Linked DNA regions of Macaca fascicularis. The protein of the gene in region 2 purifies or fractionates together with the protein of the main gene of each other region. This does not show direct contact. Links are inferred from orthologs where the notes say so. Each region holds a gene or a part of one and is shown on either strand. Other genes may lie near its edges.

What was found.
Region 1: the proteins of WDR76 (region 2) and DNAJA2 purify together in Homo sapiens (affinity purification with mass spectrometry; 3 studies listed by BioGRID and IntAct, with this or other methods). This does not show direct contact. The link is inferred for Macaca fascicularis from reciprocal best matches to the Homo sapiens genes WDR76 and DNAJA2.
Region 3: the proteins of WDR76 (region 2) and CAMK2D purify together in Homo sapiens (affinity purification with mass spectrometry; 3 studies listed by BioGRID and IntAct, counting the BioPlex papers as one, with this or other methods). This does not show direct contact. The link is inferred for Macaca fascicularis from reciprocal best matches to the Homo sapiens genes WDR76 and CAMK2D.
Region 4: the proteins of WDR76 (region 2) and HELLS purify together in Homo sapiens (affinity purification with mass spectrometry; 4 studies listed by BioGRID and IntAct, counting the BioPlex papers as one, with this or other methods). This does not show direct contact. The link is inferred for Macaca fascicularis from reciprocal best matches to the Homo sapiens genes WDR76 and HELLS.

Annotation. Positions count from the first base shown.
Region 1 is NC_088394.1:42,897,120-42,905,454, forward strand, and holds the start of DNAJA2 (dnaJ homolog subfamily A member 2), read right to left. Parts: upstream 4,255-8,335; 5' UTR 4,155-4,254; coding exon 4,077-4,154; intron 2,537-4,076; coding exon 2,477-2,536; intron 2,161-2,476; coding exon 1,937-2,160; intron 1-1,936. UniProt on the Homo sapiens protein: Co-chaperone of Hsc70. Stimulates ATP hydrolysis and the folding of unfolded proteins mediated by HSPA1A/B (in vitro).
Region 2 is NC_088381.1:20,419,129-20,426,903, reverse strand, and holds part of WDR76 (WD repeat-containing protein 76), read right to left. Parts: intron 5,031-7,775; coding exon 4,938-5,030; intron 3,341-4,937; coding exon 3,285-3,340; intron 1-3,284. UniProt on the Homo sapiens protein: Specifically binds 5-hydroxymethylcytosine (5hmC), suggesting that it acts as a specific reader of 5hmC.
Region 3 is NC_088379.1:118,987,941-118,995,715, reverse strand, and holds the end of CAMK2D (calcium/calmodulin-dependent protein kinase type II subunit delta), read left to right. Parts: intron 1-1,731; coding exon 1,732-1,960; coding exon of another isoform or gene 1,961-1,964; exon of another isoform or gene 1,965-2,004; intron 2,005-3,475; coding exon 3,476-3,542; 3' UTR 3,543-3,571; intron 3,572-4,780; coding exon of another isoform or gene 4,781-4,784; 3' UTR 4,785-6,901; downstream 6,902-7,775. UniProt on the Homo sapiens protein: Calcium/calmodulin-dependent protein kinase involved in the regulation of Ca(2+) homeostatis and excitation-contraction coupling (ECC) in heart by targeting ion channels, transporters and accessory proteins involved in Ca(2+) influx into the myocyte, Ca(2+) release from the sarcoplasmic reticulum (SR), SR Ca(2+) uptake and Na(+) and K(+) channel transport.
Region 4 is NC_088383.1:103,329,046-103,336,820, reverse strand, and holds part of HELLS (lymphoid-specific helicase), read right to left. Parts: intron 5,031-7,775; coding exon 4,908-5,030; intron 696-4,907; coding exon 639-695; intron 1-638. UniProt on the Homo sapiens protein: Plays an essential role in normal development and survival. Involved in regulation of the expansion or survival of lymphoid cells. Required for de novo or maintenance DNA methylation. May control silencing of the imprinted CDKN1C gene through DNA methylation.

The DNA.
Region 1 (8,335 bases), on a different chromosome or scaffold from region 2:
TGTAACAAATCATTTTTTAAAAATCGGCTTTTTCCCCCTACATATTAAATTACAATTGATATGCACAACCAGTACCCTAAGCCAGAAAAAAAGACACATTTCAACAAAGAAGGCCAAGGAAAGAAAAATGAAGGTAATGGTTTGGCAGGGCTGGCACTCTCCACTAGTGGGGCCTAAACTGGCACAATCCCTCTGTGCAAGGCAATTTAGTTGTATTTATCAGCCTCAAAACACTCATGCCTGCCTGGGAATCTCTGCCAAGGAGAAACAAAGCTTTACATAAAGATACTCATAGCAGCACTATCTATTACAGAAAAAAAAAACCTGGCAATACCTTATATAAAAGGTAAATGATTAAATCATGGAATGCAGTATTATAAACACAGTATTTGTAATAACAGGAAAATTTGAAATGTTAAAACAACAGAAAACTGTTTTACTATATAGCATAACATTTCTTTAAACATGAAGAACTATAAAGTACAGACAGCACTCTTTTGATCCTATTTTCTTTTTAGATCATTTCTATATTAAAGAAAAATATAAACGAATTAACCTGCACTGCACAAATATTACCATTGGAATGGTATTCAAATGTTAATTTCTGAGGGCAAATTCTTTTAAAAAACAAATTTAAGGATTCAATGAGACTCAAGTTAACAGATAACATGACTTCCTCTAATTTACTCAAGTGTATAAACTAGGATATTATGAAATATTTTAAGTATCTGAACTTCAGCCACTGACATTTGCTAATAAAATAATTTATCGAAAAAAAGAATGGGAAAAAAGACCTCCCAGATTTTGCAAAGTGAAATAGCTAATTTCATATACTGGAGAGGGCTTGTGGATTCACAGTCTAAGATCAAGGTCAGGCACCATTCATGTGCTGGCAGGTTAATGTCAGGCTGGAAGCCAGCAAGCTCCATGGAAACCAACTTAAGAGAGTTCACACTGAGGATCAAGTAATGAGTGACTCTAACATGTACACAAAGTAGGCAGACAGTCACTCATTTTTAGTTTTTAAATAAAAGGTAACTTGGAAGATTCATATACTTCAAAGAAAATAGGCTGGGTGCAGTGGCTTATGCCTGTAATCCCTGATCACCTGAGCTCAGGAATTCAAGACCAGCCTGGCCAACATGGCAAAACCCTGTCTCTACTAAAAAAATACAAAAATTAGCCCCGCATGGTGGCAGGTGCCTGTAATCCCAACTACTTGGGAGGCTGAGGCAGGAGAATTGCTTGAACTTGAAAGGCGGAGGTTGCAGTGAGCCTAGATGGTGACACTGCACTCCAACCTGGGTGACAGAGTCAGACTCCATTTCAAAAAAAAAAAAGATCAGGCATGGTGGCTCACGCCTCTAATCCCAGCACTTTGGGAGGCCGAGGCAGGCAGATTACCTGAGGTTGGGAGTTCGAGACCAGCATGACCAACATGGAGAAACCCCACCTCTACTAAAAATACAAAATTAGCTGGGCATGGTGCCACATCTGTAATTCCAGCTACTCGGGAGGCTGAAGACAGGAGAATCGCTTGAACCCAGGAGGCGGAGGTTGCAGTGAGCTGAGATTGTGCCATTGCACTCCAGCATGGGCAACAAAAGCGAAACTCAGTCTCAAAAAAAGAAAGAAAAGAAAAAAGAAAACGATCTTTACACTTGAAATTTTAAGTCCTATAATAACAAGCAGCCTCAGAACCATATAAAACCACCTTCCTCTCATTAAAAAATATCTACCATCCTTTTAAGAGCTACAGCAAAATAGAAACAGTCAGATAATCAAATTCTATTTAGTCACCAAAAGAAGACAAGGCACATGGAAGTTTTTCTAATGAAGGACAGAACATTCTATGAGTTTTTTTTCTTCTACTGAGTCAATATTCCACTTGACAAAAAGTACCTAATTTTTTAACACAACAAAACAAGATATTCACTTGAGTGGATGCATCATGTCCTCTCCTCTTCTTCTGCCATTTCGACTTCGACTCTGATTGCCCATGAAGCCGAACAATCCCCCACCAAAAATGTGAGAGAAAATATCATCCATGCCACCACCTCCGCCGCTGCCTTCCCGAAGACCTTGCTCTCCGTATCTGTCATATAACTCACGCTTCTCAGGATTTGATAGTACTTCATATGCAAAACTTATTTCTTTAAACTATAAAGAAAAGGTAAAAATAAAAATAATTACATTTTCAAATAGAAGAGTGGGGAGAGGCTATAGGAATCCAGAATCCATTTAATTCTAATAAAAGGGACAAGTTACCTTTGACTTGATTCTGCTTCTATTTACCACCCACCACTCCTCAGAATGGTAGTACTCTTATTCTAAAACTAAAATACTCTTTGACATTATGAAAATGTGGCTGTGTGGGCATAGTTGGATTTTTTTCCTGCAACATTCCTTTTTTTCAAGGAGGGCAATTTAAGTTAAAACTAAAACCCCCGGAATAAAAAAATCGCAAATAACTTACTTTGTCTCCTGCATTTGGATTCTTATCAGGATGATATTCCTTGGCTAACTTTCTGTATGCCTTTGAAAATGGACAAAAACAAAGAAGGTTATAACTAAACACCAGTTTAAAGTTTTGTAATAACTTAACATCCACTTTTCTGAAAAGTAATGTTCTAGAGTTATAACCTTCCAAAAATATTTTCTATTCGTATTCTTTGGCACTTCCTCACGATACTGTTTACTAATGTAATATAACCAAGTAGACTGTAGCTATACTTGAAAATAATTACAGTGACGTGAAAACCAGATAAAACAATGAAGCAATACCATAGGGAAAACGTTCAAACATTATCCATATTTTCCCTATCGTCAAGTGTCTGATGGCCAAGTAACCAGACCAAGACCACTCTAATAAATTTGAGATAAATGACTGTCAAGCTTTACGGACTGCAAAACATTACTATAAATCAAGCTAAAGTCACAATTCCTGCTCCCGATGGCTCAGGCCTTCCTTCTAACTGTAACATCATGAAAAAGTCAAGGTGGTCCCAGGTAGTGTCTTTAGGTGTTTTATTTGCACGTGGTGGTTAACTGGGGTCGTGGTGGCAACTTCGGTGGTAGTGAAGTTGCACACTCTCAACGAGGTGTTTGGGTCATACAGCACTTAAATCTTCATTTACGGAGGCTCGTGAATTATATAATACAGACTAGCATTTCCGGTAAGGTAACAGGAAGTCCACTGCACTCTTCTCACTGCCTAAGGAGCATTCTCATTTTTCTCGGCTTACAAATCCGGATGCTCTTAGCCCGGTGAGGATGCTGTGGGGCTTAAACGCCTCGTGTGCTTTGAAATCCTGAGATGAAAGATATCGCAGCATTGCAAACAGCGATAATAAGGCCTTCTATTCATGTTTATTGCACACTCAGGCGTTTGGCTGGGACCACGGCTTATTCCTAAGCAGGTACAGGACATTAGCATTACCTGACCACAGAACAATGCATCCAAACACAGACCCACGCTACCTCCGGGTCAATGGGCGAGGGAGGAAGAGAGGGAGGAGCTCCCGCAGCCCGCAGCCGGGGATCCCAGGAAACAACCCCATCTGCCCGAGGCGCTCTGTGGGGGCGGCCTCGACCTCCCCGCCGGACCTCCCCGCCGTTTTTCCCCGCGGAGCACCAGACCCGGGGCCGACGGCCGCGGGGTGGACAGCTTCTCTCCCGGGGCCGGGATGCGCTGAGCACCTCGGTCCAACCTGTTTTTCCGGGGTGGTGACCTCGACGCGGAGAGCCGGGCGAGCTGCTGCCTCCTGGGGGAGACCGGCCACCGGCGCTCGCCCGAGGAGGGAGGAAGGGCTACCGTCGTGTTTGCGCAGGAGTGAGTTTTATTTGCTGCATCTGCGGGCGGGCGGGGCCGGCGGCCCAAGGTCAGCCGAGGCCGGAGGGCGCGGCTCGCCGCGAGGCCGGTCCCGCCGCTGCCGCCGCCGATCCCCAGCCCGGGCCCGTCACGGCCGGCGCCGGCTCGCGGGCCGCCCAGTAGCGCGGCCTGGCTGAAGAAGACATCCCCGGCCGCGCAGGCCCCGCGCCCCTCACACCCGCCCGCCCGGCCCGCTCCCGGATACCTTCTTCAGCTCGTTCTCGCTGGCGCCGGGCGGGACGCCCAGGATGTCGTACAGCTTCGTGTCAGCCACGTTAGCCATGGCGGCCGGCCGGGCAGTGCTCAGGAAGAAGGTGGCGGAGCAGACAGAGGAGCCGGGCCCACAAGCGGCGTCGGCAGCGGATCAGGCCGAGGGAGACAGCGAGGGGGAAGCGGGGGCGGGGCTGAACTTTGACCGGGCGCACGGTGCGCCGTGACGTCGCAGTGCGGAGCCCGCCCCCGAGCGCCCGAGGCGCGGCCACTGGGTCGGGGTGGTGAAGAGTGTGGCTGGTTCTCTGATCTCCTCTGGGTCCAGGCTGCTGTGCTGGGCCGACGTAGGAAATGAACTCTACACGGCGCACCCCAGGAATTCAGCTTCCTCTCAAAGGCCATGGTTGCGACGTCGCGTGTTTAACCTCGCACTGGGTACTGAGGGGATTAACAGGCCTACGCGGCAGCTTCGTTAGCTTCGAGTCGGTCGGGAAAGGAAGTGGGCCCCGGCTCCTGCAGGAGGCCAGCCTGGCGCGCAGAAATCGTTCTCAGAATCCAGGACGTCGGTGGACCCTCTGGGTCTGGCTCCCTCGGGGCTTACGATGAAAAAAACTGGGGAGCGTGTGTGTGTGTATGTTGTGTTTTATGTTATGGGAATAATGAAACATTCAACAAAAGCAGTCTATTACACCCCGTAGTGCAGTTAGCTACATTTTACCAATTTTGTTTCATTCGCTCCCCTATACATCTCTGGTGTTTTCAGGGAAACCGTTTCATTCATAAATACCCTGAGTGTATATATTTAAGACAACTTTTAAAAGCATGACGACGTAATCTCATCTAATGAAATTAACAATTCCTTAATCTAATTCCCAGTCTATATTTAGGTTTTTCAAATGATCGCATGGCCTTTTACAATTGGTTTGTGGCATTCCAGTCCAAACCAAGGTCCACGTGTTGCTTCTGGACCACGTGTTTAAGCCTCTTGATAGCTTTAAAATTAGCTAATACCAGAGGTTTAGATGGTGTAAGGCAACTCTGGCCACCAGGTGACTTGATTTACATTCGTTTTAGTTTCGCTCAGAAAGTGAATGCTGTGCATCTACCACGTGCTATGATGTACAGAGGCCTGGTCCGGAGAGAGGAGTGTTACAAAAGTGCCTGCCTTCAACCCATTTACGGTTTACGGAGACAGAAAAGTAAGATTTTATGATCCCTTGGAACCTGAACTGATAGCAAAGACTTCAGTATAAGCATCTTACTCAGGATAATGTTTCTTCCTTGGCGTTCCCCTTGACCTAGTTGTGGAGGGCCTGAATGCCATGACAAGGTCTCTGAAATTTAGCCCGAAAACCCTAAGAGTAATCAGTGATAAGTCATTGATAGTCCTTAAACCCTTTTCCTCAAATCCCATCTGAAATCCTGCTCCCTCTGTGAAGTCTTCCTTGACTGGACACTGGTGAACACTGCTGTCTCATTCGAGTTCCCACCACCCTTCGTTTGTACCTTTTGTGGTACAAAAAATGTGCAACAATGTGGTAGGATCCCGAACTCTTTTTTTTTTTTTTGAGACAGTGTCGTTCTGTCCCTCAGGCTGGAGTGCAGTGGCGCGATCTCAGCTCACTGCAACCTCCACCTCTCGGGTTCAAGTGATTCTCCCACCTTAGCGTCTCGAGTAGCTGGGATTACAAGCGCCCATCACCATGCCTGGCTAATTTTTGTATTTTTGGTAGAGGTGGAGTTTCACCATGTTGACCAGGCTGGTCTCGAACTCCTGATCTCAAATGAACCAGCCATCTTGGCCTCCCAAAGTGCTGGAATTGCAGGCCTGAGCCACTGCCTCTGCCAACCACGATTGCCGTGTAAATGCTGACATCCTCCTCATGCATGGCTGTGAAATCCAATTCTCTACTTTTCACATTTTGAGATGTTCATAAGAAAAGGTGTAAAGTTGTGGCGAAGTTAGATTGTGTCGGTTGGTAGTCTGACTCTGTCATTTAGGAACAATGTGACCTTCAACAAGTTAACTTTTCTGAGGTGGTTTCCTCAGGTGTAAGATGGGGCTTATTATTTTTTATATCATTGGTTTAAAAGAGTTAATACATTTCTGTTACTTAGGGCTGGGCGCTGTGGTCTGTAATCCCAGAACTTTGGGAGGCTGAGGTGGATGGATCACTTGAGGTCAGGAGTTTGAGACCAGCCTGGCCAACGTGGCAAGACCACCTCTCTACTAAAAATACAAAAATTAGCTGGGGGTGGTTGCACACCCCTGTAGTCCCAGCTACTCGGGAGGCTGAGGTGGGAGAATCCCCTGAGCCCAGGAGGTGGAGGTTGCAGTGAGCCAAGATCATACTACTGCACTCCAACCTGGGTGACAGAGTGCAACCCTGTCTCAAAATAATAAATAACTAAAATTTTAAAAATTACTTAGAAGCTAAAACAAATTAAGTATTAACTATTGTTTTTGGCCTATTTGCTTACATTGTCTTTACTCATTTAAATTTCTGGCTTTTCTACTGGGATTCCCTGACTTCCTCCATTACCTATGGGAAACGCCCGTCTGTCCCTTTTCATGACCTCGTCTTCCCAGATCTCCTTGCTTGTCAGTCTCATTTCTCTGTTAGTTCCTGCTCCACGTGAGAATATGAACTGAAAATCTGTCTTTATTGCAACCTTCATATTAATTTATCTTTTTTATTTCATATTGTTTTATCTTATTAGCCTTCTGCCCGTGAACAGTTTAAAAGGGCTGGAGTTTCCTATTTGTTTCAGTTTTACTCAGTTTTTTTTTTTTTTTTCCAAGGGGAAAAAATTCTCTCTTGATGCCATTTTAGCTTCTGATATTGTAATGAAGAGTAGCTGGGTAAATTCCCTCTTTTGTTCTTGTTATTATTATTATTATTATTTTTTTACCTGACTAGACCAGTAACCACAGTAACTATTTTTGAATTTCATTTTCATTTCTTTGCAATATTTTCTCCACTTCTGCGTATTAATTGTAGTCAGCATAATTTGCTAATTTTATGGCTTGAGTTATTTCAGAAGAACTTTGTGTGTTTAAACTGACACAGGCTCTTCTCCCAAGAATCAGAGACTGAAGTAAACCTGTGTCACTGTAATGTTTCAGCCACTAACTGTTTTGAGATAGCATATTTATTTTGGCTTCATATTTAGCCAATGCTATGAAGGGAAAAGGACCTTTATATCATTTCAGGTCTCAGGCACTGTAAAATGCTGAGTCACAGTACACCTGAGCGCTGCAATGATCTCAAGTTTGAGGCGGCAGTGATTTCAGATTTCTGCCAGGTTTATATTGGTGTTCAATTCCTTTACTTTGATTTAGTATGCTTGTGTAACTGTGAGGGGTTGGGGTGGAGAGGAGGTGGATATGGACTGGGGCAGGGGGAGGAGGTGGATATGGAATGGGGCAGGGAGTATAGGAACTGTAGTATTTTTGAAGACCATTCATACTGTTCACAAGTAATTGGGAACTGTGTAATCCATTACTTAGACAACTCTAGATATATCATTCAGGCAGTTCAGAAAGTGGTTTTGCTTTCTGCCTTTAACTAGGTTTGACTGTATAGAGTAAGTGATGCAGGTTAAAATATTTTGGCGGAATACAGAAGAAGGTACTGATGGTTCTTGTTATGAGGGTGTCAGGACCACGTCATTTGATGATTGTTAGTGCTCTGGAAAGAAAAAATTGTGGGCTGGGCGTGGTGGCCCAAGCCTGTAATCCCAGCACTTTGGGAGGCCTAGACGGGCGTATCACAAGGTCAGGAGCCGAGACCATCCTGGCTAACATGGTGAAACCCCGTCTCTACTAAAAAATACAAAAAAAAAAAACCCCAAAAACCAAAAAAAAACTAGCCGGGCGAGGTGGCAGGTGCCTGTAGTCCCAGCTACTCGGGAGGCTGAGGCAGGAGAATGGCGTAAACCCGGGAGTCGGAGTTTGCAGTGAGCCGAGATCCGGCCACTGCACTGTAGCCTGGGCGACAGAGCGAGACTCCATCTCAAAAAAAAGAAAAAAAAAAAAAAAAAAGAAAAAAAAATTGTGGGACTTGGATCACTGAATAATCTCTGAATTTCTTTTCAGTGCTTAAAGTAGATCATTCAGTGATGGGGCAGCACAGTTGTATGTGGTATTTCTAGCCCTGCTGCTGGCCTTTCAAACTCAGTCGTGTCAAACCCTGCCTCATTAATTAGCATTTTCCAAAGGTTCAGTTTGCTTATATAATTGCAATGGTATAG
Region 2 (7,775 bases):
TGATCCGCCCGCCTCGGCCTCCTAAAGTGTTGGGATTACAGGCGTGAGCCACCGCGCCTGGCAGTTTACTTTTCAAATAATATACAGTCCCTATTTTTTATGCACTATTTTTTCATTTTAAAAAAATTCATTTTAAAATGTCAGGGAAAGAGAAGCCTCTGAAATTATTTCCAAAAATTCACAAAAAATTATCAGCTATAGTCCACATTAGTTCGAGAATTAGTAAAAACTTTTTTTTTTTTTTTTTTTTTGAGATGGAGTCTGGCTCTGTCACCCAGGCTGGAGTGCAGTGGCTGGATCTCGGCTCACTGCAAGCTCCGCCTCCCGAGTTTACGCCATTCTCCTGCCTCAGCCTCCTGAGTAGCTGGGACTACAGGCGCCCGCCACCTCGCCCAGCTAGTTTTTTTTTGTATTTTTTAGTAGAGACGGGGTTTCACTGTGTTAGCCAGGATGGTCTCGATCTCCTGACCTTGTGATCCGCCCGTCTCGGCCTCCCAAAGTGCTGGGATTACAGGCTTGAGCCACCGCGCCCGGCCTAAAAACTATTATTGATTGAAAGTATACTATATACTAAAAACTGTACTCCACATTCCATCTCATATTTAATCCTCAAAAAATACGCCTGAGTATATGGAATAATATGGGCTGTCATACAATCCTCCTAGAAATCTACTCCTAGAGAAACTCCCATACATAAGCACTAAGAGACTTAAGAATGTTTAGAGCAGCACTTTTCATAATAAAAACCTGGAAACAACTCAATTGTTCATCAACAGTGGAATAAAATGTAGTACATTTATCCAGTGGAATATCATATAGCAGAAAAAAAGAATGAAATAAAGCTGTGCACATCAACATGGGTAAATTTAAAAGCATAAATATGTAAAGATGAGCAAAATAAGAAAATCTCAGAATATAAAAATGGCATATTGTATGTGAACACCAAAAAAAGACAAAGCTAAACAATAGAGTGTTTAAGGATACACTCACTGGTAGTAAAACTATAAATCAATAGCCAGGCGCAGTGGCTCACACCTGTAATCCCAGCACTTTGGGAGGCTGAGGCAGGCGGATCACTTGAGGTCCGGAGTTCCAGATCAGCCTGGCAAACATGGCAAAACCCCGTATCTACTAAAAATACAAAAATTAGCCAAGCATGGTCATGAGCACCTGTAATCCCAGCTACTCAGGAGGCTGAGCCATGAGAATTGCTTGAACCTGGGAGGCAGAGGCTGCAGTGAGCCAAGATGGCGCCACTGTACTCCAGTCTGAGCAACAGAGCGATACTGTCTCAAAAATAAATAAATAAATAAAAATGAAACTATAGGCTGGGCACGGTGGCTCACGCCTGTAGTCCCAGCACTTTGGGAGGCCGAGACAGGTTGGTCACAAGGTCAGGAGATGGAGACCATCCTGGCTAACACGGTGAAACCTCGTCTCTACTAAAAATATAAAAAATTAGCTGGGCATGGTGGCGGGTGCCTGTAGTCCCAGCTACTCGGCAGGCTGAGGCAGGAGAATGGTGTGAACCCGGGAGGCAGAACTTGCAGTGAGCTGAGATCACGCCACTGCACTCCAGCCTGGGCAACAAAGTGAGACTCTGTCTCAAAAAAAAAAGAAACTATAAATAAATGCAAGGAAATATTATCACAAAAGTCAGCATAGTGGTAGTATCTGGAGGGAGCTGTATATATGGGCCTTCGGGGGTACTCATAATTTCTATTAACCTGGATGGCAGGTACATGGTTGGGACCTGTATAATTTTTCAACTACACAAATACATTATATGTACCTTTTTATATGTATATTTAATAATTTTCAAAAAAATTTAAATCCTTCTGAATTAGCATAACACCAGTTTTACAGAAAAGGAAAGAAAAATTATATAAAGTATCCAAGGTTAATATCATAGCTGTAAGTGACTGAATCAAAACTTGAACCCAAATTTGCTACATCTCAAAGCCTATGCTTCTTCCTCTACATTAAGCAACTTCCATACTATCAACTTGCTACTACCTATGCAACTATTAAGGGCTGGAATTTTGTGATTTAGGAAGAAATCACCTATCTTGGCTAATAAAAAACATTCAAATGTAAAGGTACTAATCAGCTGGCAACAGGACCAGTGCTACTGTTTTTCCAGTGTTAATGATGTTCCTCTTACAGTAACTTTTCATACTTGAAAATACCTGGCCATGATTAAAGGTCTAGCTTTTCTCAAGCTAATTGTCCTGTAACAGAATCAAACCAAGTAAATGAAGCTACATTTCATTAGCATCTGGCACTAAACAAATGAGCTAATGATACCAAGATTTTTAGTTTCTTCATTTACATGTAAGCACTACCAAAATGCAATGGAGATAATTCAAAATTTAAAAACCCTGGAGTTCAAACCACTTATAAGCTGTTTTGACTTTCAGCAAATAATTTTTTTTTTTTTTTTTGAGATAGAGTCTCACTCTTACTGCCCAGGCTGGAGTGCAATGGTGTGATCTTGGCTCACCACGACCTCCGCCTGCCAGGTTCAAGTGATTTTCCTGCCTTAGCCTCTTGAGTAGCTGGGATTCAGACATTTGCCACCATGCCTGGCTAATATTTTAACTTTTTTTTTTTTAGTAGAGATGGGTTTTCTCCATATTGGTCAGGCCAGTCTCTAACTCCCGACCTCAGGTGATCCCCCTGCCTCAACCTCCCAAAGTGCTGGGATTACAGGCATGAGCCACCGCACCCAGCCAACAATCTTATATTTTGAGCCAGATTTCTAACTCACAAAATGAATATATTACCTACCACATACATGGATGGATACAGTGGTTGTCAGAGTTAAATGAGATAATACATGACAAAATTGCTAGATCACTGCAGTATGTTTCATAGATGTTCAATAAATGTTAATTCCTTTCCTTTATTCTAGGACTAAGAAAGCAAAAACAAATTGAGACGCAAAAAGACAGCTAGAAAAATTAAAAGTAAGTAGAAGAGTCTTTAAGAATAATAGTTTTCTAAGTAACAATAATTTAGTGGAAAAAAAGATTTCCCTCCATTATAGCAACAACAAATATAAACAAATTTCAGCTCTCAATTGTATTTGCTCCATATTATTTTGATGAAGATGAGAATTGTAAAGTTATTAAAGGGTAGCATTACCTCAGAGATCCTAGAGGGACTGAAGTTAAACAGCACTTGACGATCTGTTAAGCTTACTATGCCAAACCATTTTTTTCAAATTATAAAACAGTTGAGCAATGTATCATGGTTCAGGCATTGCAAACCAGGTATTTTACCTCTTGGATTTAGGAGGCTGTCTCTTCTCTATGATTTCACGGAGTCTTGCAGCAGACTGTAAAGTATAAAAATCATGTAAAAATGTTTTAACTACATATCTTACCTTTAAAAATATTAGGTATCTGCTACTATACCCACGTTAAACTAAGGTCTATTCAGGAACTAAAGATCCTAAAGATAGGCCATAAGTCATGATCAGCGTTTCTGTACTCCAGCCTGGGCAACACAGCGAGACCCTGTCTCAAAAAAAAAAAAAAAAAAAAGGCCAGGCGCAGTGGCTCAAGCCTGTAATCCTAGCACTTTGGGAGGCCGAGACGAGCGGATCACGAGGTCAGGAGATCGAGACCATCCTGGCTACCATGGTGAAACCCCGTCTCTACTAAAAAATACAAAAAACGGCCGGGCGCGGTGGCTCAAGCCTGTAATCCCAGCACTTTGGGAGGCCGAGACGGGCGGATCACGAGGTCAGGAGATCGAGACCATCCTGGCTAACACAATGAAACCCCGTCTCCACTAAAAATACAAAAAAATTAGCCGGGCATGGTGGCGGCGCCTGTAGTCCCAGCTACTCGGGAGGCTGAGGCAGGAGAATGGCGGGAACCCGGGAGGCGGAGCTTGCAGTGAAGCCGAGATCGCGCCACTGCACTCCAGCCTGGGCGACAGAGCGAGACTCCGCCTCAAAAAAAAAAAAAAAAAAATACAAAAAACTAGCCGGGCAAGGTGGTGGGCGTCTGTAGTCCCAACTACTTGGGAGGCTGAGGGAGGAGAACGGCGTAAACCCGGGAGGCGGAGCTTGCAGTGAGCTGAGATCTGGCCACTGCACTCCAACCTGGGCGACAGAGCGAGACTCCATCTCAAAAAATAAAAATTAAAAAAAAAAAAGGCCAGGCGTGGTGGATCACACCTGTAATCCCAGCACTTTGGGAGGCCAAGGCGAGTAGATCACTGGAGGTCAGCAGTTCAAGACCAGACTGACCAACATGGTGAAACCCCATCCCTACTAAAAATACAAAAATTACCCAGGCATGGTGGCAGGCGCCTGTAATCCCAGCTACTCAGGAAGCTGAGGCATGAGAATCGCTTGAACCCGGGAGGCGGAGGTTGCAGTGAGCCGAGATCACGTCACTGCACTCCAGCCTGGGCAACAAGAGCAAAACTTTGCCTCCAAAAAAAAAAAAAAAAAAAAAGGACAAAAAAAAATGCCTTCGAATCAATGGAATACAGTAACCTCTTCCTATTAAGTGCAAAACCTGCTCCTATTTTAGCCTTCCTCATCTGACACTATGAAACCTGGTATGTTATTGACCTTCTGGTGGGAGTTATGACATCTTGGGTTTTATTGCTCTTGTTGTTGTTTTGAGACAGGGTCTTGCTCTGTTGCCTAGGCTGGAATGCAGTGGCACGATCGTAGCTCACAGCAGCCTCGACTTTCTAAGCTCAAGCCATACTTCCACCTCAGCCACCCCAGTAGCTACGACTCCAGGCATGCATCACTATGCTCAACTAATTTACTTTTTATAGAGGTGGGGGATGGTCTCCGTATGTTACCCAGGTTGATCTCCCACCTCCACCTCCCCAAGTGACAGGATTACAGGCGTGAACCACTGCTCCTGGCCCAGCATCTTGGTTTTAAATACAGACTCCACACAAACCTCAGACAACTGAAGAGAAGCAAAAAAGTCTGCATTTTCTGATATGTTCTTCAGTCTCTTCCTTTCGTAGGGTGACAATCCCGAAAAATCATCCTATAAAATTTACCAAAAAGATTCCATTACTTTATATAATCTATAGGAAAAGCACTTCACAAAACTATGTGTTTCATTTTCTACATGAATACTTTACTTCAAATTGTACTACCTCTATTCATTTCATGCCATCTAACCAAAACAGACGTTTGCTGAATTGGATATTTCAGTAAATCTGAATTTGGGATACTCACAGAGTATCTGTATGGCTTCCCAGTTAAGAAGTGATCTGTTATTAGAAATCAAGTAGTATAATCTAGTAGCAAATTATTTCCTAGTGGCAATTAATTGTACTATTACTCAAAAGTTATTTTTGGCCAGGCATGGTGGCTCACGCCTGTAATCCCACCAATTTGGGAGGCTGAAGCAGGTGGATCACCTGAGGTCAGGAGGTCAACACCAGCCTGGCCAAAATGGTGAAATCCCGTCTCTACTAAAAATATAAAAATTGGTCAGATGTGGCGGCTCATATCTGTAATCCCAGCACTTTGGGAAGCCAAGGCAGGCAGATTACCCGAAGTCAGGAGTTCAAGACCAGCCTGGCCAACATGGTGAAATCCTGTCTCTACTAAAAATGCAAAAAAAAAAAAAAAAAAAAATTAGCCAGGTGTAGTGGCAGGTGCCTGTAATCCCAGCTACTCTGGAGGCAGGGGCAGGAGAATCACTTGAACCCAGGCGGCGGGGGTTGCAGTGAGCCGAGATCATGCCATCGCACTCTAGCCTGGACAACAAAAGCGAAAACGCCGTCTCCAAAAAAAAAAAAAAAAGTTATTTTTATCAAACAAAAAAACTTTCTTTAAATGCAGTAGAGTAAGTACATGTCTCTACTTTCTCCTAAAGAGCCACTAATGTAACAGTAAGCTAATGTTTTTTTAAACCCTGAGATATAAGACAGTATATTCAGGAAATAGCAAAATACTATAAGAAAATTCAAAAAATAAGAACAGAAGTTTTTAAATCCATTAAAAGCCTTAAATTTAGAAAGTAGAACAAAAAGATAAACACATGGACAGAAAAGACAAAAAACAGACTCAATCTTAGAGGTCCAATATCCAATTCATTGTTTGAGAAACTGCAGAGAAATTGGAAGAGAATCAATCATTAAAAAATAATAAAGGCCGGGCGCGGTGGCTCACGCCTGTAATCCCAGCACTTTGGGAGCCCGAGGTGGGCGGATCACAAGGTTAGGAGTTCGAGACCACCCTGGCTAACAAGGTGAAACCCTGTCTACTAAAAATACAAAAAATTAGCTGGGAGTGGTGGCGGGCGCCTGTAGTCCCAGCTACTCAGGAGGCTGAAGCAGGAGAATGGCGTGAACCTGGAAGGTGGAGCTTGCAGTGAGCCGAGATGGCTCCATTGTACTCCTGCCTGAATGACAGAGCAAGACTCCGTCTCAAAAAAAATAAATAATAATAATAATATAAATGGGAGGCCGGGTATAGTGGCTCAAGCCTGTAATCCTAGCACTTTGAGAGGCCGAGGCGGGCAGATCACCAGGTCAGGAGATCAGGACCATCCTGGCCAACATGGCAAAACTCCATCTCTACTAAAAATACAAAAATTGGCCGGGCATGGCGGCACGCGCCTGTGGTACCAGCTACTCGGGAGGCTGAGACAGGAGAATTGCTTGAACCCGGGAGATGGAGGTTGCAGTGAACGGAGGTTATGCCACAGGACTCCAGCCCGGGCAGCGACAGAGCAAGACTCTGTCTCAAAAAAAAAAAAAAAAAGAAAAAGAAAAGACAGAAAGAAAAATAATGTAAGTGGGAGACTGAAGCAGAAGGATCACTTGAGCCCAGAAGTTCAAGGTTTCAGTAAGCTATGATGACACCACGATATTCTAGCCTGGGCAACAGAGCGAGACCCCCATCTCTAAAAAATAATAGTCTGAAAACAAAAATATTATTTTAAAGTTTCTCAAAACTAAAGACATGAGCTTCCAGTTACAAAAAGCCCAATGAGTATACAGCATAATGAATGAAAAAGGACTCAGGCAAGCAGGCTCAGTGGCTCACGCGTGTAATCCCAGCACTTTGGGAGGCCACCAGGCAGATCACTAGAGGCCAGGAATGGGAGACCAGCCTGGCCAACATGGTGAAACCCGTCTCTATTAAAAATACAAAAAAAAACTAGCTGGGCGTGGTAGTGCACACCTGTAATCCCAGCTACTTAGGAGGCTGAGGCACGAGAATTGCTTGAACCTAGGAGGCAGTGGTTGCAAAACCGAGATCACACCACTGCATTCTAGCTGCCAGGGCAAGAGCAAGACTGCCTCAAAAAAAAAAAAAAAAAAAAAAAAAAAGCAGGCCGGGTACGATGGCTCATGCCTGTAATCCCAGCACTTTGGGAGGCTGAAGTGGGCAGATCACCTGAGGTCAGGAGTTCGAGACACCCTAGCCCACATGGTGAAACCTCATCTCTACTAAAAATACAAAAATTAGCTGGCCGTGGTGGCATGTGCCTGTAGTCCAAGCTACTCAGGAAGCTGAGACAGGAGAATCGCTTGAACCTAGAAGGCAGAGGTTGCAATGAGGCAAGATTGTGCCACTGCACTCCAGCCTAGGCGACTGGGTGAGACCCCGTCTCAAGAAAACAAAACAAAACAAAGAAGAACCCAGGCCTCGGTATATCATCACAATTTTTTTTTTTTTTTTTTAAAGAGATGGACTCTCACTCTGTCACCCAGGCTAAAGTGCATTGGCTTGATTAAAACTTACTGCAGCCTTGCACTCCTGGGCTCCAGCC
Region 3 (7,775 bases), on a different chromosome or scaffold from region 2:
GAGATTGAGGCTGCAGTGAGCTTTGATCATACCACTGGATTCCTGCCTGGGTGACAGAATGAGATCCTGTCTCAAATTTTAAAAATAAGAAAAGGAAAAAATTTTTAAAAACCACACCATGCCAAAATATTCAACATAGAAGAGTGCTTTCAAGCATATGTGATGCTTATTTTCAAAGTAAAATGAAAATCAAGTTGAGTAATCAGATAAATCTTTCAATTCAAATTTTAAGAATTGTGGTAGTTTCAGAGGAAACCACCACTTTTCAAAGAAGGTGACAAAAGAAGTTCATCCTGCAGAAATCCTTCAGGTCATCAAGAAAAATGTAAACCAGGAATTCCCTTTATCCTTCTCTTTTTCCTTACACCTAATGACATTAGACATTATGCTGTGTTTGCATATTGCATTAAGTGAATGTACTATTTTTGCAGAGATCTTATTGAATTAAAGAAGAAATGTATTATAGGAATAATTGGGATAATCACATCACTTTCAGTAATTATAAGCTTTGATAAGAATGTCTGCTTTGGCATGGATTTTCGAAGTAAGATGTGTTGAATGAGTTACTTTTTCTTATATGCATCAGGCATTTACAAACAAATAAACAAAAAGAACCATTTGATAAATTCTCTCTCAAAGTTTCAGTAAATGTTATCATATTCCCTATATTCCAGTGTTCTGATAGCATCTCATGTTTCCTCCAACTAACTCTCTGTTGACATCGTCTGATCCCTAATGAAAGAATTAACCCATTAATATTTTAACCTATTTCAGCATAACACTATACATCATGTTCCATAAATGTAATTCCTTCATAATGGGGTATTCAGGTGACTATAATAATATTTTGTATAATTTGAATAGATGTTTTCTGAGAATGGAAAGCATGTTTGGATAACAGCTAAAAACAATTCAATGTTTTCTAGTGATCTAAGAAAGGAACAGCATCAGTAAGTGATGTGCCCTAGTCCTCCTCATATCTCTTGGTAATTGAATAATTAGAATTGGTAGCTACTGTTAAAACACCAGAGTCTGGAGCATAGTGAGGGCTACTCAAGCAAGGGAAAGAGCTAGAAGATCAGAATCAGGCTGTGTGCCAACACCACATTTTGAATGTTTATCAAATGATCACAGTGGACTATCATGGAATAGACTCTAGTATGTGGAGGAGTCAGAGGATGAGATGAGAAACAAGTTCATAGGCTTGTTCAAAGGCTACCGCCAGCCTTATTTTGGAGACAGTGATATCCATACCTGAAACTTGATATATTGCCCTTCTCCCACATACTTCACCAACTAACAAAAACAAACACCACCGCAAGATCCCTGGTCAACTGTCCCAGCAGTTCATTCCTGGAAAAGACAGGAACTGCTTGGCACACCTGGACCAGGCCTTCTTCACCTCTGTTCACGTTGTGATTTCTGTTTCTAACCACTTTCCTTCGTAAATAAATATATCTCTCCAGCTTTCTCACCCGATCAGTATTTCCAGAGGAGCATATAAGTGCCTGTGAAGGAAACCAGATAAAAGAAAGACTACGTCCACTTTTGTTCTTTCCTTGCTTTGTACAGTGCCCAGTACCAGATTAGTATAAATAGTAGATTAATTAACTAATTAATTACTGACTGAATAAATGGCATTTCATGTATTGGTCCTAACTGAAGTTATTACTGGTTTTAGTTTCCTTTACATAGAAACTAAATTTTGCTTTTCATGTTTTTCTCTTTCAGCTTTGTCCAAAAGCAATAAACCAATCCACACTATTATTCTAAACCCTCATGTACACCTGGTAGGGGATGATGCCGCCTGCATAGCGTATATTAGGCTCACACAGTACATGGATGGCAGTGGAATGCCAAAGACAATGCAGTCAGAAGAGACTCGTGTGTGGCACCGTCGGGATGGAAAGTGGCAGAATGTTCATTTTCATCGCTCGGGGTCACCAACAGTACCCATCAAGTAAATATTCCCAGGCTGTCAGCTTCTTTGTTAATACACCCATGGTCAGCTTCTTCTACTTATTCCATTGTTAATAGCGTGGTATATGTTATTTAATGCTAGTAGTTGGTTACACTGATGAAAATAAATGACTTCACGGGAAAGGTTTATGATTCTCTGGAAAGATCAATCAGATCAGCCATCTGTGGGTTGAAACTTGCTATAGAGCAGTATACAATAGGTTTGGATAGGACTAGAGACTACCATATCAAAATCTCACAGTGTTAAATCTAGGGGATTTGTATAATAAGGCAAAATATTTGTGACTTCATTTTCTCAATTGACAGAAGGGGATATCAGAGGAAAGCATAGGGTGGAGTTTCTAAAATGGCCAATATATTATCAGGAGTTTCATTTCATGGACGATCCCCTAAAGCTCAGTTACAGAGACCCTTTTAAAAGGCCATTGTCAGGTAGTGCAATGTCGTTCTCACCTCACCACTCTACCTCAGATATCATTTGCTTTTCCAGTCAGCGATTAGGCACATATTTATTGTGAATCTCCTAGGTGCTTAACCTGCGCCAGATTCAACACAAGGTAAAAGATATTGCTTTCAAGGAACATGCATTCTCATTTAGTCAATCATTGATTCTAAAGAAAAAAATGATATAATAAACTTTATCATCAACTTAAGAATACAGTAAAATTCATGAACAGTGTAGTAAACTGTTTATAACAGTTTGGAAGTACACTTTGTGTATAAGATAGAATTTTGGACAAAATCTTAAATGATGAGTAGAATTTAGAGACATAGAAAGATAGAAAAAACAAAGGAGAATAGTCCAGGCTAAAGGAGCATCGTGAAGAAAAGTACAATATCAGGATTTAGTTTAATATGAGAGAACATTATTGGTAAGGAATGCCGGTTACAACTAGAGTAAAGAGGAATAATTGAAAATAGGTTTATTAGTAAAGTGGAGTGATAAGAAAACAAGAAGCGTTTAAACTCAGTGTAGAAGATTGGTCCACTGTTGATCTCTTTCCGAATTATCTCACCAGGATCACCTGTTAATATTTGGGATTTGGAATGGGGGTTCATACAAACAGCCATTCAACTCACTCCAGAGAATCCATCATGATTTCTTAGTTTGATAACATACCACAGTGGTTTTCAGAGGCCTTCTGTATAGACTTACTACTTATATATCACTGTTGGATTTGTAAAAAGTGGGTCAACAGGGACAAAAAAAAAAACAAAACCAAACGATAGGCTGAAATTTATTCCCAAAACCATAGCTATGTAATTAAGAGAAAAACACAAGAGGAATATGAAGATAATGAAGACACCTGTTTTTGTGTGTTTTTTACCCCAAAGAGGTACAGCACAAATCACCAGTTAATATAGAAGGGGTTACATTCATACAGTACCAGAGGGTTAGGTTTTTTTACAATTCCCTGAAGTGTTTATGGGATGAAGCCTATTCAAGAAAACTTCATTTTATGCCAGGTGGCTTAAATGGGGCTTCTCTTAATAGGCCACCCTGTATTCCAAATGGGAAAGAAAACTTCTCAGGAGGCACCTCTTTGTGGCAAAACATCTAAGGCCTGAAAATCATTCACATATGGGTCTTGTAAGTAACATCCTGCTCCGTGATACTTTGTGATTGGAGCTGAATGAAAAGCTGCATGGCTGTTTTCCTTCCTTTTGAGGATATTTTTTCTTGCATAATATTCAATGAAAAACATACACGGTCTTTGAAAATTCATAGCAATTTTGCATGAGCTTTTGAATCTAACATTCAGCCCTATTTGGTAGCATAATCCTTATTTTAAAGGTAATAAACATTGAAATGAATTTTTTCCAACATGTGGATTATGTCATGTTAGAATCCTGAAGTTTTCACATCAAAAGTAAATTATGTCTAGGTCAGTTCAGATAACTCTCAATTATCCTTACTTAATTTATATTAAGCTTTAGAATCCTCTGGTGTCTTAACCATTCTTTCAAGAGGTTGCAATTCTATAAGCAGCTGGCTATGGTGAATGTGTAAATCAATTTGCTGTGCCTGACTGAGTATAATGGTGCTTGACCATGAGCACAGGCCACAGGAGGAGTCAAGCTGAAATTTAAAACTCACAAAGTGGGTAATTCCAGAGGATAATTGAAAGTTGACTGTAATTAACTTCATGCTTTTATTGTTGTTTTTAATTAGTTGTTTCTTAGACTTGGGTTACAAGTATTCAGATATGTATGGTGCTGTTGTGAATATTTGCCTCATTCAGAGAACTAAACCTTATCAGAGCTTTTAACAAATAGTGCTCCCAGCTGTTGCTTTCAGCAAAGGAGAGCTCCAATTAAAGAGAGTAATCATGTTCTCTCTACTTTTGAGACTATATTCCTTGTTAAATTGACTTCTAGGTTTAATTTCCCAAGGAATCTAATAATAATAACAAAAACTAAGGATGAACTTGAATTTTAAGTCTATTTCAGCAAAAAGATTATATTCATTTACTAATTTGTCCAGTAAACAGGAATGCTTAAGATGTATACTTAGATTTAATAACGTGACTGAAGCCTGGGTCCCTGTCTCTTTATTTTTAGCTTAGCTTTGTGTGAAAAAATAATTAATACTCATTTTCTATTTTAATACTGTCTTTGTGTAACATTGTGTGTTTCTTCCTGTAATGATCACAAGCAAACATCTCTTATACATAGTGTTCTCAATCTATTTGTTAGCCAAGTTATAAAACTGTAGCATAGTCAAATCTATGGCAAAGCAATTTGATGATATTTTGTAAAACAATATAATTTATTTCTTCCTCTCCCTTTCTCCTTTCAGCTAAATATCAACAGTGCCACTTCTGCATTCTCTGTTCTCAAGGCACCTGGATGGTGACCCTGGGCCGTCCTCTCCTCCTCTTCATGCATGTTTCTGAGTGCATGAAGTTGTGAAGGTCCTACATGTAATGCATATGTGATGCATCATCTTATCATATATTCCTTCCTATACATTGTTTACACTTCAACTACGGGGATGTTCCGTGCAAACTTAAATTACTGTTGGCAAAACAATAGGGGGAGATTAGACAAAAAGAAAAAATCCACAATATTCCAAGTACAACTCTTCATCAAGTTTCTCTGTTAATGCCAAGATTTAACAGACTTAAGAACTATTGTTCTCTGAATGACAGTTTGTAAGAGAAATGTAAATTTTTTAGAACTCTTTGCTGTTAATCTGTTTTGGCTTGTTTGGTTTTTTTGGGTTTTTTTGTTTTTGTTTTTGTTTTTTTTAAGGTAAAAACATATACCTTCAGTTTCCTGGTGTGATCCTGGTTAAAATGGATGATTTTTCATGGGAAGTTTTGCTGATTAGCAATTAAAGTGGGTTGATATGTGGGCAAAATCACTTATGAAAGTAGAAGCAAGAATCAGTTGGTTTGCTACCACATAAAGCCATGCTCTTTTTGGTCAAACTGTGTAAACTGGAAAAATTCACATCATTTCTGAGTTTAATCACTTTAGGATATATTCACATTGTTTTGGTGAATTTGCTGAATTGAATTGTTTTTCTTTCTCGAATCTGTGATCTCTTTTCTTTATCCTGTTTCTTTGTTCCTTTCGTTTGCTTCCTTTTTTATTTTTCTTTTGTTCCATTCTTTTCTAACTTTCTTCCCTTTTCCTTTTTTGAGGAGGCCGGCTAGTAGTGTGTGAGAAAAGAAAAAAAGTGAAATTTGCATAATGAAGGTAAAAAGGAAATAAAAGCCTTTTGAAGGTGGCTTAACTAGCACTTTTGATCATCTTCAGGGCCCACAAAAATGTTGTCAAGATTTTAAAGGTTTATAATTCTGCTTAAGCTCTACTTTGGACTTAGGTATCCTAACTATGTTGGAGGTATTTGAATTGTTTAAACTTAGGATAAAAGCAAGTTCCTCCTGTGACTGCAACGTCTTACTGATTGGGACAGTTGCCAGGAGGATACCAAGTTGATAGCAGAGGGGGTGTTATGCAAACGCACTCACCTCCGCCTTGGGGAATGAAAGGGTCACTTCTGCATCATCACTAGCTAGTTTTCTAGCGTTAGAGAGGCTTACAAATGTTTGCCATTCTCATACGTGTTTTGAACTTGATCTTTGTGACTTGTGTTTTTTAGCTTCTCTCTTGAATCAGAGTATCGTTATCTTCCTCCAAGGAGTTAGGATTTTCCAGTTTAAAACAAAAAGGGAAATGTCCTAGGTTTTCTTTGTGCTTCTCATTTTTCCTTTGTTGATTGAATTCCTGTGATTTTTTTGTTCTCTTCTCTGAAATGCTTTACAGTGCATGGAATCTCCATCATTGTTATTTTAACGGTAGTAATTCACAGTCCTCAGAAGCCTGTTTTTAAAGCAGAAGCAAAAAAGGAAAACAAAGCAGCAAAAACAACCCTTCGTCTTTTCTCTCATCTGACCTTTCTGTGTTGATTACTAATCATCTTAGATATTATTGCTAGTGGATGTATGGTAGATGGGTTGAAGCTTTTCTGATAATTATTACACAATTTAAAACAATATATATTTAAAATAAATATATACAGTCAATATATTGAGCCATGTTAACCTGCCAATGAGATCTGTGAAAAAAATAATGGCCTCATTTTTCCCTTTTTAATTTCTTTTACCCTTTTGTGAAGCAGCTATATGTGGCATACATGTATTTAAAGAAAAAAATAGGTGTAGAGTGTTTTTTTTTTACACTTTTAGCATGTGGTGTTGAAGTATTACTGTAGATCAAGTTTGTCTTCCGCACTAAGATGTGAGGAAATTGTGATTTGTTCTCTCCACCACAAATGAACTACACATTTATTATCTTCTATCATTTTGAAACACTGCAGTTTACCATGGGACACTGTATATATTTCTTGCCATAATGGTAAATGACTGATTGATATATTTAAGAGTTAATAAATTTGTGATTTCTGCTGACAGTGCGTCCATCTTTATTTCTTCAGAAGAGCTACTGTATTTATGTCTGCATGGTGCTGGCCAGTGTCAAGGGCAGTGTATCCTGCTCTGTCCTCATTCAGTACATGACAATTTGCACTTGGTGGGAATGGCAAGTTAATAGTTCTCTATGAGCAAAACAATGGTCTCTTCTGGGAAATTGTTGCTGAGAACAACATAGTTAACAACTAAGACTCCTAAAAGCTTCTCTATACTATACCCTCCAATCCAGCCTTCACATGGCTGCTTTTTTTTAAACACAAACCTGACCTTGTAACGCTTTGGTGTTATCATCTCTGGAATATAGGCAAGCACCCCAGCTCCTGCTACTTCTCAACTTGAACTAGAGCATACGTGGATGCTCAGCTTCTTTTGATTTGCTAAAAACATCCACTTGCTCACATGCCTGTTTATGCTGTTCATGTTTATGTTTCTTACCTAGAATAAATAGTCTTCCACTACTTCTTACTCTTTCCTAAGATTCAGTGTAGAGCATCATGCTCCACAGCAAACCTTCCTAGGCCCTATTCTGGGCTTGCCTTCCCTCTCAATACTTGCATAATAGATTGTATTTACCTCTCCTGCCAACCACATTGTTTTGAAAATATATTTCTATTTGTGTTTCCTCTACTGCAGTATAATGTCGCTGTAGGCAAGAACTGTGTATTCATCATTGCATTCCTAAACCCAAACCAGGGCCAGGAATGGAGATATCGTTGACAAATAGTTGTTGAATTGAGGCCAACCCCTTTTGATAACAGAAGCCTCAAAGTGTACTCAGATGGTCCTGGATTTAATGATGGGTTCTCTCACCATTGTCTTGATGCTCTGAGCAAGTTACCTCTTCCCTCTGAACCT
Region 4 (7,775 bases), on a different chromosome or scaffold from region 2:
CCATGTTTGAGCTGAGCTTGGAACATATGTATTGGAAGACTAAAATTATTTGCTGCTCTGAACATAAGCATGTCCAAAAATGACCATGACGGTGTTAGGAATCTTGACTCTGGGGTTACAAATAAATTTAAGTGAGTTGGCAAATTCACAAACATAGAATCCTTGAATAATGAAGAATGACTGTTCTTTATCTCCTTGCATCAGCCTATTTATGTAAAATGGGGGAGAAAAGTACCTCTACCTAATAAGAACTGTTGTGAGAGAGAGAAAACAGGCTGGGCGTGGTGGCTCATGCCTGTAATCCCAGCACTTTGGGAGGCCGAGGCGGGTGGATCACGAGCCAGACCATCCTGGCTAACACGGTGAAACCCCGTCTCTACTAAAAATACAAAAAATTAGCCGGGCGTGGTGGCGGGCGCCTGTAGTCCCAGCTACTTGGGAGGCTGAGACGGGAGAATGGCGTGAACCCAGGAGGCGAAGCTTGCAGTGAGATGAGGCGACAGAGCGAGACTCCATCTCAAAAAAAAAAAAACCAAAAAAAATTAAAGTTAAACAGATGATCAAAAAAGTCAGAAGAATACAAAAGTATTTCTTCAATATTTAAATGACATAAAAAATATTCTGGCTGGTTATATTACCTTTTTAACTTTTAAAGACTCCTTTTTTCTCTCCAATTTTTCTTTCTTCTTCTGTTCCTGTAAGATAATTTTTTCTTATGTCACAAGTGGGAAGTGCACCATTAAAAAAAAAAAAACGCATATCAATTATCAAATAACTTATGTTTACAATGAGAAACTAAGGTCTATCATAATTAAAAAACAGGGAGGAACTTGTACTTCAACAAGCCTTTATGGACTAATGGGACAGATTTACCATCCTGCCTTAAACTAAAATCCAGATAAAATTTATTAAACAGTGGTTTTCAGACAACATGCAGTAACGAACTATAAACATTGACAAAAGGGAAACAAGGTTAATCTTCTGACTGCCCAGCTTACTGCCTGATACAATTTTTTTTTTTTTTTTTTTTTTTTTTGAGACAGAGTCTCGCTCTGCCGCCCAGGCTGGAGTGCAGTGGCTGGATCTCAGCTCACTGCAAGCTCCGCCTCCCGGGTTCACGCCATTCTCCTGCCTCAGCCTCCCCAGTAGCTGGGACTACAGGCGCCCACCACCTCGCCCGGCTAGTTTTTTGTATTTTTTAGTAGAGACGGGGTTTCACCGTGTCAGCCAGGATGGTCTCGATCTCCTGACCTCGTGATCCGCCCGCCTCGGCCTCCCAAAGTGCTGGGATTACAGGCTTGAGCCACCGCGCCCAGCCGATACAATTTTAAAGTACAAATAATGGAGAAAACTCCAAACAGAGCCCAACAGTCTCTTTGTGTTGAGGAGACAGAACCCAAAACTTAAAAAACAAAAAACTTAAAAAACAAAGCAGTAGCATTCCCAGGGTCAAGTACCAGAGAGGACAGAGCTGCACAAAGGCAGCTGTTACCTCTCTCTCAGGCTGACTACTGTTACCTCTCTCTCGGGCTGACTACTGGTAAGTGCATGGTAACCAAGGCCAGGAGAAAAGTCACCAGAAAGAAGTAGGTGGAAAGGCTCATGTTCCAAGGGGTCAGGCATAATAAGGTATACCTCACATTCTCTCAGCCAAAGTGGAAAGTCCTCTTAATATAAAGGGCATCAAGTAGAGTGCTCAAGAAAGGGATCAACTTATTCCTAGACTAAAAGCTATTCTAGACATACTCTTACAAATGTTTAAAAGACACCAAAAATTCAAACCATTTCCAAGAGGTGATGAAAGGGGTAGATGCTGTGTAACTCATTAAGTTGAATATTTGTTTTTCCATTTGTTTTACTTTATCATAAAAAAGCAATAAAAGGGTTTCAAACAAAGGAAAAAGGAGATTTTATAAACACAGCAAAATTTAAACTGATAATTGGTAAATGTGGGTGATGGGAACACAGGGACTTACTGTATTCTCTCAATTTGCACAAGTTTTTAAATCTTCATAACAGTCTAGTAGAAAGACAAACAATAAATACAAAAAAAGATGTATATCAGATGAAAAGTGCAATGGGAAGAACAGAACAAGGTAAAGAGAATCAGGTGTGTCAGCAACTTTCTTAAAATTGTGAGGGCAGGTCTCATCTAGAAACCATTTAAGTCAAGGCTTGAAGATGAAGTTAAGCCATGCAGTTATTTAGAGGAAGAAGGTTCCAGGCATAAAATAGCAAGGGCAAAAGCCCAAGACAGGAAACACATCTGGAGACAGGTCTGAAAGGTAATGGGATTGAGGGAGGCAATCCAACTGCTTACAGACATATAGATATTATCAGGACTTTCACTTTTCAGAAACAACATAAGCTAGGAGACAGTGAAACATCTTTAAAGTACTCTAAGAAATAAAGTACTAAAGAAAAACAATTCTTTACCAGTAAAAATGTATTTCAAAAACGAAGGTAAGTGAAGACATTCAGATATATGAAAGCTAAAAGAACACATCACCAACAGAAAATGCAAATGAACCTATAATAATAGAAAACCGATCAATTGGCTATCTGTGGATAGAACATGGGGTAGGGATGGGAAAGAAGAATTATAAATGAGCCGAAAGAATTCTTTGGAATCAGTGGGTATGTCCACTATCATGACTGTTATGTCTTCACAAGTATATCCCTATATCAAAACTTAGGGAATTGTACATTTTAAATATGTGCAGTTTAGTGTATGTCAATTACACTCCAATAACAACATTTCTTAATGGAATCCTTCTCAGGAATAAAAAGAATAACCTACAGAAAAACATGACATGAATTAATCTCAAAAATACACTGAGCAAAAGTAACAAGACAAAGAATGCATATGTGCAAGAATATTGAGAAAAAAAAAAACTCAGTTTCTCCCTACACACTCAACAATCAACACAAAAGACTTCTGTGACCCAATGTGTGGGGGTTTTCCCTATACACCAAAAAGCATTTCTGCAGTGACACCGACTAGGTGTCCTCTATTGTAATTAAATTCTTTTTTTTTTTTTTTTTTTTTTTTTTTTGAGACGGAGTCTCGCTCTGTCGCCCAGGCTGGAGTGCAGTGGCCGGATCTTGGCTCACTGCAAGCTCTGCCTCCCGGGTTTACGCCATTCTCCTGCCTCAGCCTCCCGAGTAGCTGGGACTACAGGCGCCCGCCACCTCGCCCGGCTAGTTTTTTGTATTTTTTAGTAGAGATGGGGTTTCACCGTGTTAGCCAGGATGGTCTCGATCTCCTGACCTCGTGATCCGCCCGTCTCGGCCTCCCAAAGTGCTGGGATTACAGGCTTGAGCCACCGCGCCCGGCCTATGTAATTAAATTCTGACACTATCTACCGGGTGACAGCACCATACCCCATAGGTTGAGGGTTCAGTCCCCAAGACTTTACCTACCAGTTCCAGATGCCAATCACAAGGCCCAAGTCACTTTACCTATGCTTCTGACTGAACAGCTATAAATCAGGGTTCCCACAAGCCCCTCTTTGGGTTTGACTAATTTGCTAGAGGAGCTTACAGAACTCAAAGAAACACTAAAGTTTATTGGTTTATTATAAAGAATATGATAGTCCGGGCGCAGTGGCTCACACATGTAATCCCAGCACTTTGGGAGGCCAGGGTAAGCAGACCACTTGAGCCCAGGAGTTCTAGACAAGCCTTGGCAACACGGCAAAACTGTGTCTCTACCAAAAATACAAAAATAAGACAGACATGATGGTGTGCTCCAGTGGTGCAATCTCGGCTCACTGCAACCTCCGCCTCCCAGGTTCAAGCGATCCTCCTGCCTCAGCCTCCCAAGTAGCTGGGGTCACAGGCACACACCACCATGACCGGCTAATTTTCATATTTTTGGCAGAGATGGGTTTTCACTACGTTACTCAGGCTGGTGTCGAACTCCTGGGCTCAAGTGATCCACCTACCATGGCCTCCCAAAGTGCTGGGATCACAGGCGTAAGCCACAGCCCCCAGCCTGTTGTGTTTTATTTTTGAGACAGGGTCTTGCTCTGTCACCCAGGCTAGAATGCAGTGGTGCCATCACAGCTCATTGCAGCCTCAATCTCCTTGGCTCAAGCCTCCTCCTGCCTCAGCCTCCCAAGTAGCTGGGACTAGAGGCACATGCCACCTTACCTAGCTAATCTGTCTATCAGAGATAGGGTTTTGTCATGTTACCCAGGCTGGTCTCAAACTTCCGGGCTCAAGAAATCCACCCACCTAGGCTTCCCAAAGTGCTGGGATTACAGACATGAGCCACGCCCAGCCCTTTTGGGTTTTTAATGAAGGCTTCATAACATAGACATGATTGATTCAATCATGACCACTGGTGAACAACTTAACTTTCAGTCCCCCTTTTTTCCCTCAAGGTTGAGGGTGAGGCTAAATCCCAACCCTCTAATCCAGGCTTTGTCTTTCATAGGCTTCCATCCTGAAGCTACCTAAGGGCTGCTAGCCACTGATCATTAGCATTAAAAAAAAAAAAAAAAAAAAAAAACACAACATTGAAGATTCCAAGGATTTTAAGAGTTGTATACCAGCAAATGGTGATGAAGACCAACTATTTACTCACAAAAGCACAATACCATGATTTCATTTATACAATTTTCTAGGAAAAAACAATACTGGTCTATAGTGACAGAAAGCACTGTGGTTGCTGGACACCAGCCATTGGGATCACTGTCAGCACAAGACAATTTTTTGGAGTTCATGGAAATGCACTGTGTCTTGATTGTGCTGGTGGTTACACAGATCTATATATTTACTAGTCAAACTCAGCAAACTGTACACTTAAAATCTGTATATTTTAGTGTATATAATGTACACTTCAATAAAGCTATTTTTAAATTTTTTTAAGCTTTCACTTATAGTCAGTTACATATACATACCTCTAATTGTTGCTGTTCCATTTTCGTCAACAAAAATTTGGAGTAGATATTGCTTTTTTCAAGCAAATGTTGAAGTCTACGGTACCGAATTTCTGTCGACTCTCTATCCCAAGACATGCGAGCCTATCCAAAGAGAAAACTTCCATAATTATGAACACTTTCTGACATACATTGATTTATTTTGGCATAAAGTTTAATAAAAATGGCTAAAGTAACATTTTTTAAACCAAACACTTTTTCAAACCAAAAACTGGAATAACTGTTAAAAAGAAAAGTTTTTGGGTTCAACAGGTAATCTGATAGATGCAGTTTGTATATCAAAATATTATAATTTCAAATATTGAACACATGGTTTCTGGCATCTACTGAGTTGGAAGGTCTATTTAAAAAACAACTGATGGCCGGGTCCGGTGGCTCACTGGCACACACCTGTAATCCCAGCACTTTGGGAGGCCAAAGCGGGAAGATCACCTGAGGTCGAGAGTTCGAGACCAGTCGGACCAACATGGAGAAACTCCGTCCCGACTAAAAATACAAAATTAGCCAGGCATAGTGGCGCATGCCTGTAATCCCAGCTATTTGGGAGGCTGAGGTAGGAGAATCACTTGAACCCGGGGAGGGGGCAGAGGTTGCAGTACGCCGAGATCACACCACTGCACTCCAAACAAGAGCAAAACTCTATATCAATTAAAAAAAAAAAAAAATTGGGGCGAGGCACGGTGGCTCACACCTGTAATCCCAGCACTTTGGGAGGCCGAAGAGCATGGATCACCTGAAGTTAGTAGTTTGAGACCAGTCTGGCCAAAATGGTGAAACCCCATCTCTACTAAAAATATAAAAATTAGCTGGACGTGGTGGCACATGCCTGTAGTCCCAGGTACTCAGGAGGCTGAGGCAGGAGAATTGCTTAAACCCAGGAAGCCGATGTTGCAGTGAGCTGAGATGATACCACCGCGCTCCAGCCTGGGTGAAAGAGGCGCCATTTCAAAAAAAAACGTAGCCATTTGCAATCTTAAGTGTGTAATTTGCTAAAACACTGATGTTGTGGTTCCGTGTTATTACATTACCTTGTTACGTACAGAGAAGGGAAATTTTTGATTAATTTTTGATTAATTTTTATGAGGGTCAACCTCATAAAAAGTAACTGCCTAGGTGACACTAGGAAATTCTAAGACAAGTTTTCAGAGTCTCTCCCTGTTTGAGATGAATAAACAAGTTTATCTGGATAGAACATTTTAGAAAAATACTATGAACACAATTCATCCTAACAATCAAAACAGACATCTAGCCAAGATTAACATCCGCACCCCATTTTTTAAGGCAGGGTCTCATGCTGTAAATGGTGCAACTGCAGCTTACTGAAGCCTTGAAATCCCAGGATCAAAGGACCCTCCCACCTCAGCCTCCAAAGTAGCTGGGACTCTAGGCAGATGCCACCATGCCCTGTTAATTTTTGTATTTTTTTTTTTTGTAGAGGCAGGGTTTCGCTTTATTGCTAAGGCAGGTCTCCAACTCCTAAACTCAAGAGATGATTCATCTGCCTTGTCCTCCTAAAGTACTGGGATTATAGGCATGTGCCACCATGCCCAACCAAGATTACCAATTCTGTAACATCAATCCAGCCTAGTAAATCAACAAACATGTACTGCAACAATTATATAAATTACATAACTGGTAGAAGACAGAAAGTCTGATTTATACAACAAATGAGGCATTAATATATCTGAAAACAACAAGTATTAAAGACAGATACACATAGCAGCAAACTGTACAATACTATCTAAATCCTGGAAAAGTCTAAGAATCACTAAGATCAGAGAAGTCAGATTTCAGGAAATAGATAACATCTGAGGGGTCTGAAGGATTAGATAAATGAGAGCAGAAGAACTCAAGTTTTGTCAATTACTGTAGAAGTTCCTGAATTCAGCAACATTGGCCTCAGCAACAGCACTAAAAATCACACTTAACTTTAGAATTAAAAATACTTTCAGAGATTACATAGTAGATATCTTTCATTTTATACAGTCTAGACAAACTCTTAAAAGAGTTTAGTGGCAGATTTTTTAGTATTTTGTTTTCTCAACTAAACCAACTCCCCTACTTTTCAACAAGGATTAATGAAAACACAAAGTCAACCAATAAAATCTAACTGCCCCTTTCCCCAGTAATTGGTGGTTTCAACTTAGAGAAAAGTAACTGAGCATTTACAGAGTGTTTGAAATGCGGGATATAAGCTCATTTTTATACTCTAAATGATGCCCTAGCACTTCGGTAGTTTTGCTGCTCCAGCTTGTCAATATCTCTAAGATATCATTTTATATTGCCTTACATTTTCCTTCTGCCCAGGCTGGAGTGCAGTGGCGCAATCTTGGCTGGCCCCCGCCTCCGCCCCCGCCCCCACCTCCGCCCGGGTTCAAGCAATTCTCTGCCTCAGCCTCCCTAGTAAAGCTGGGATTGCAGGCGCCTGCCACCATGCGCAGCTAATTTTTGTATGTGCCGGTGCCTGGCCAGCACATATTTTTAAAATAACTAGATACAGCCAGGCACGGTGGCTCACGCCTGTAATCCCAGCACTTTGGGAAGTCGAGGCAGGCACATCACGAGGTCAGGAGTTTGCGACCAGGCTGGTCAGTATGTTGAAACCTCGTCTCTACTAAAAATACAAAAAAAATTAGCCAGGCGTGGTAGCACGTGCTTGTAGTCCTAGCTACTTGGGAGGCTGAGGCAGAAGAATCGCTTGAACCGGGGAGGCGAAGGTCGCAGTGAGCCAAGATCATGCCACTGCACTCCAGCCTTAGCAACAGAGGGAGACTCGTCTCAAAACAAACAAACAAACAAACCCTAAATACTTGCCTGGTGGTCCTGAGA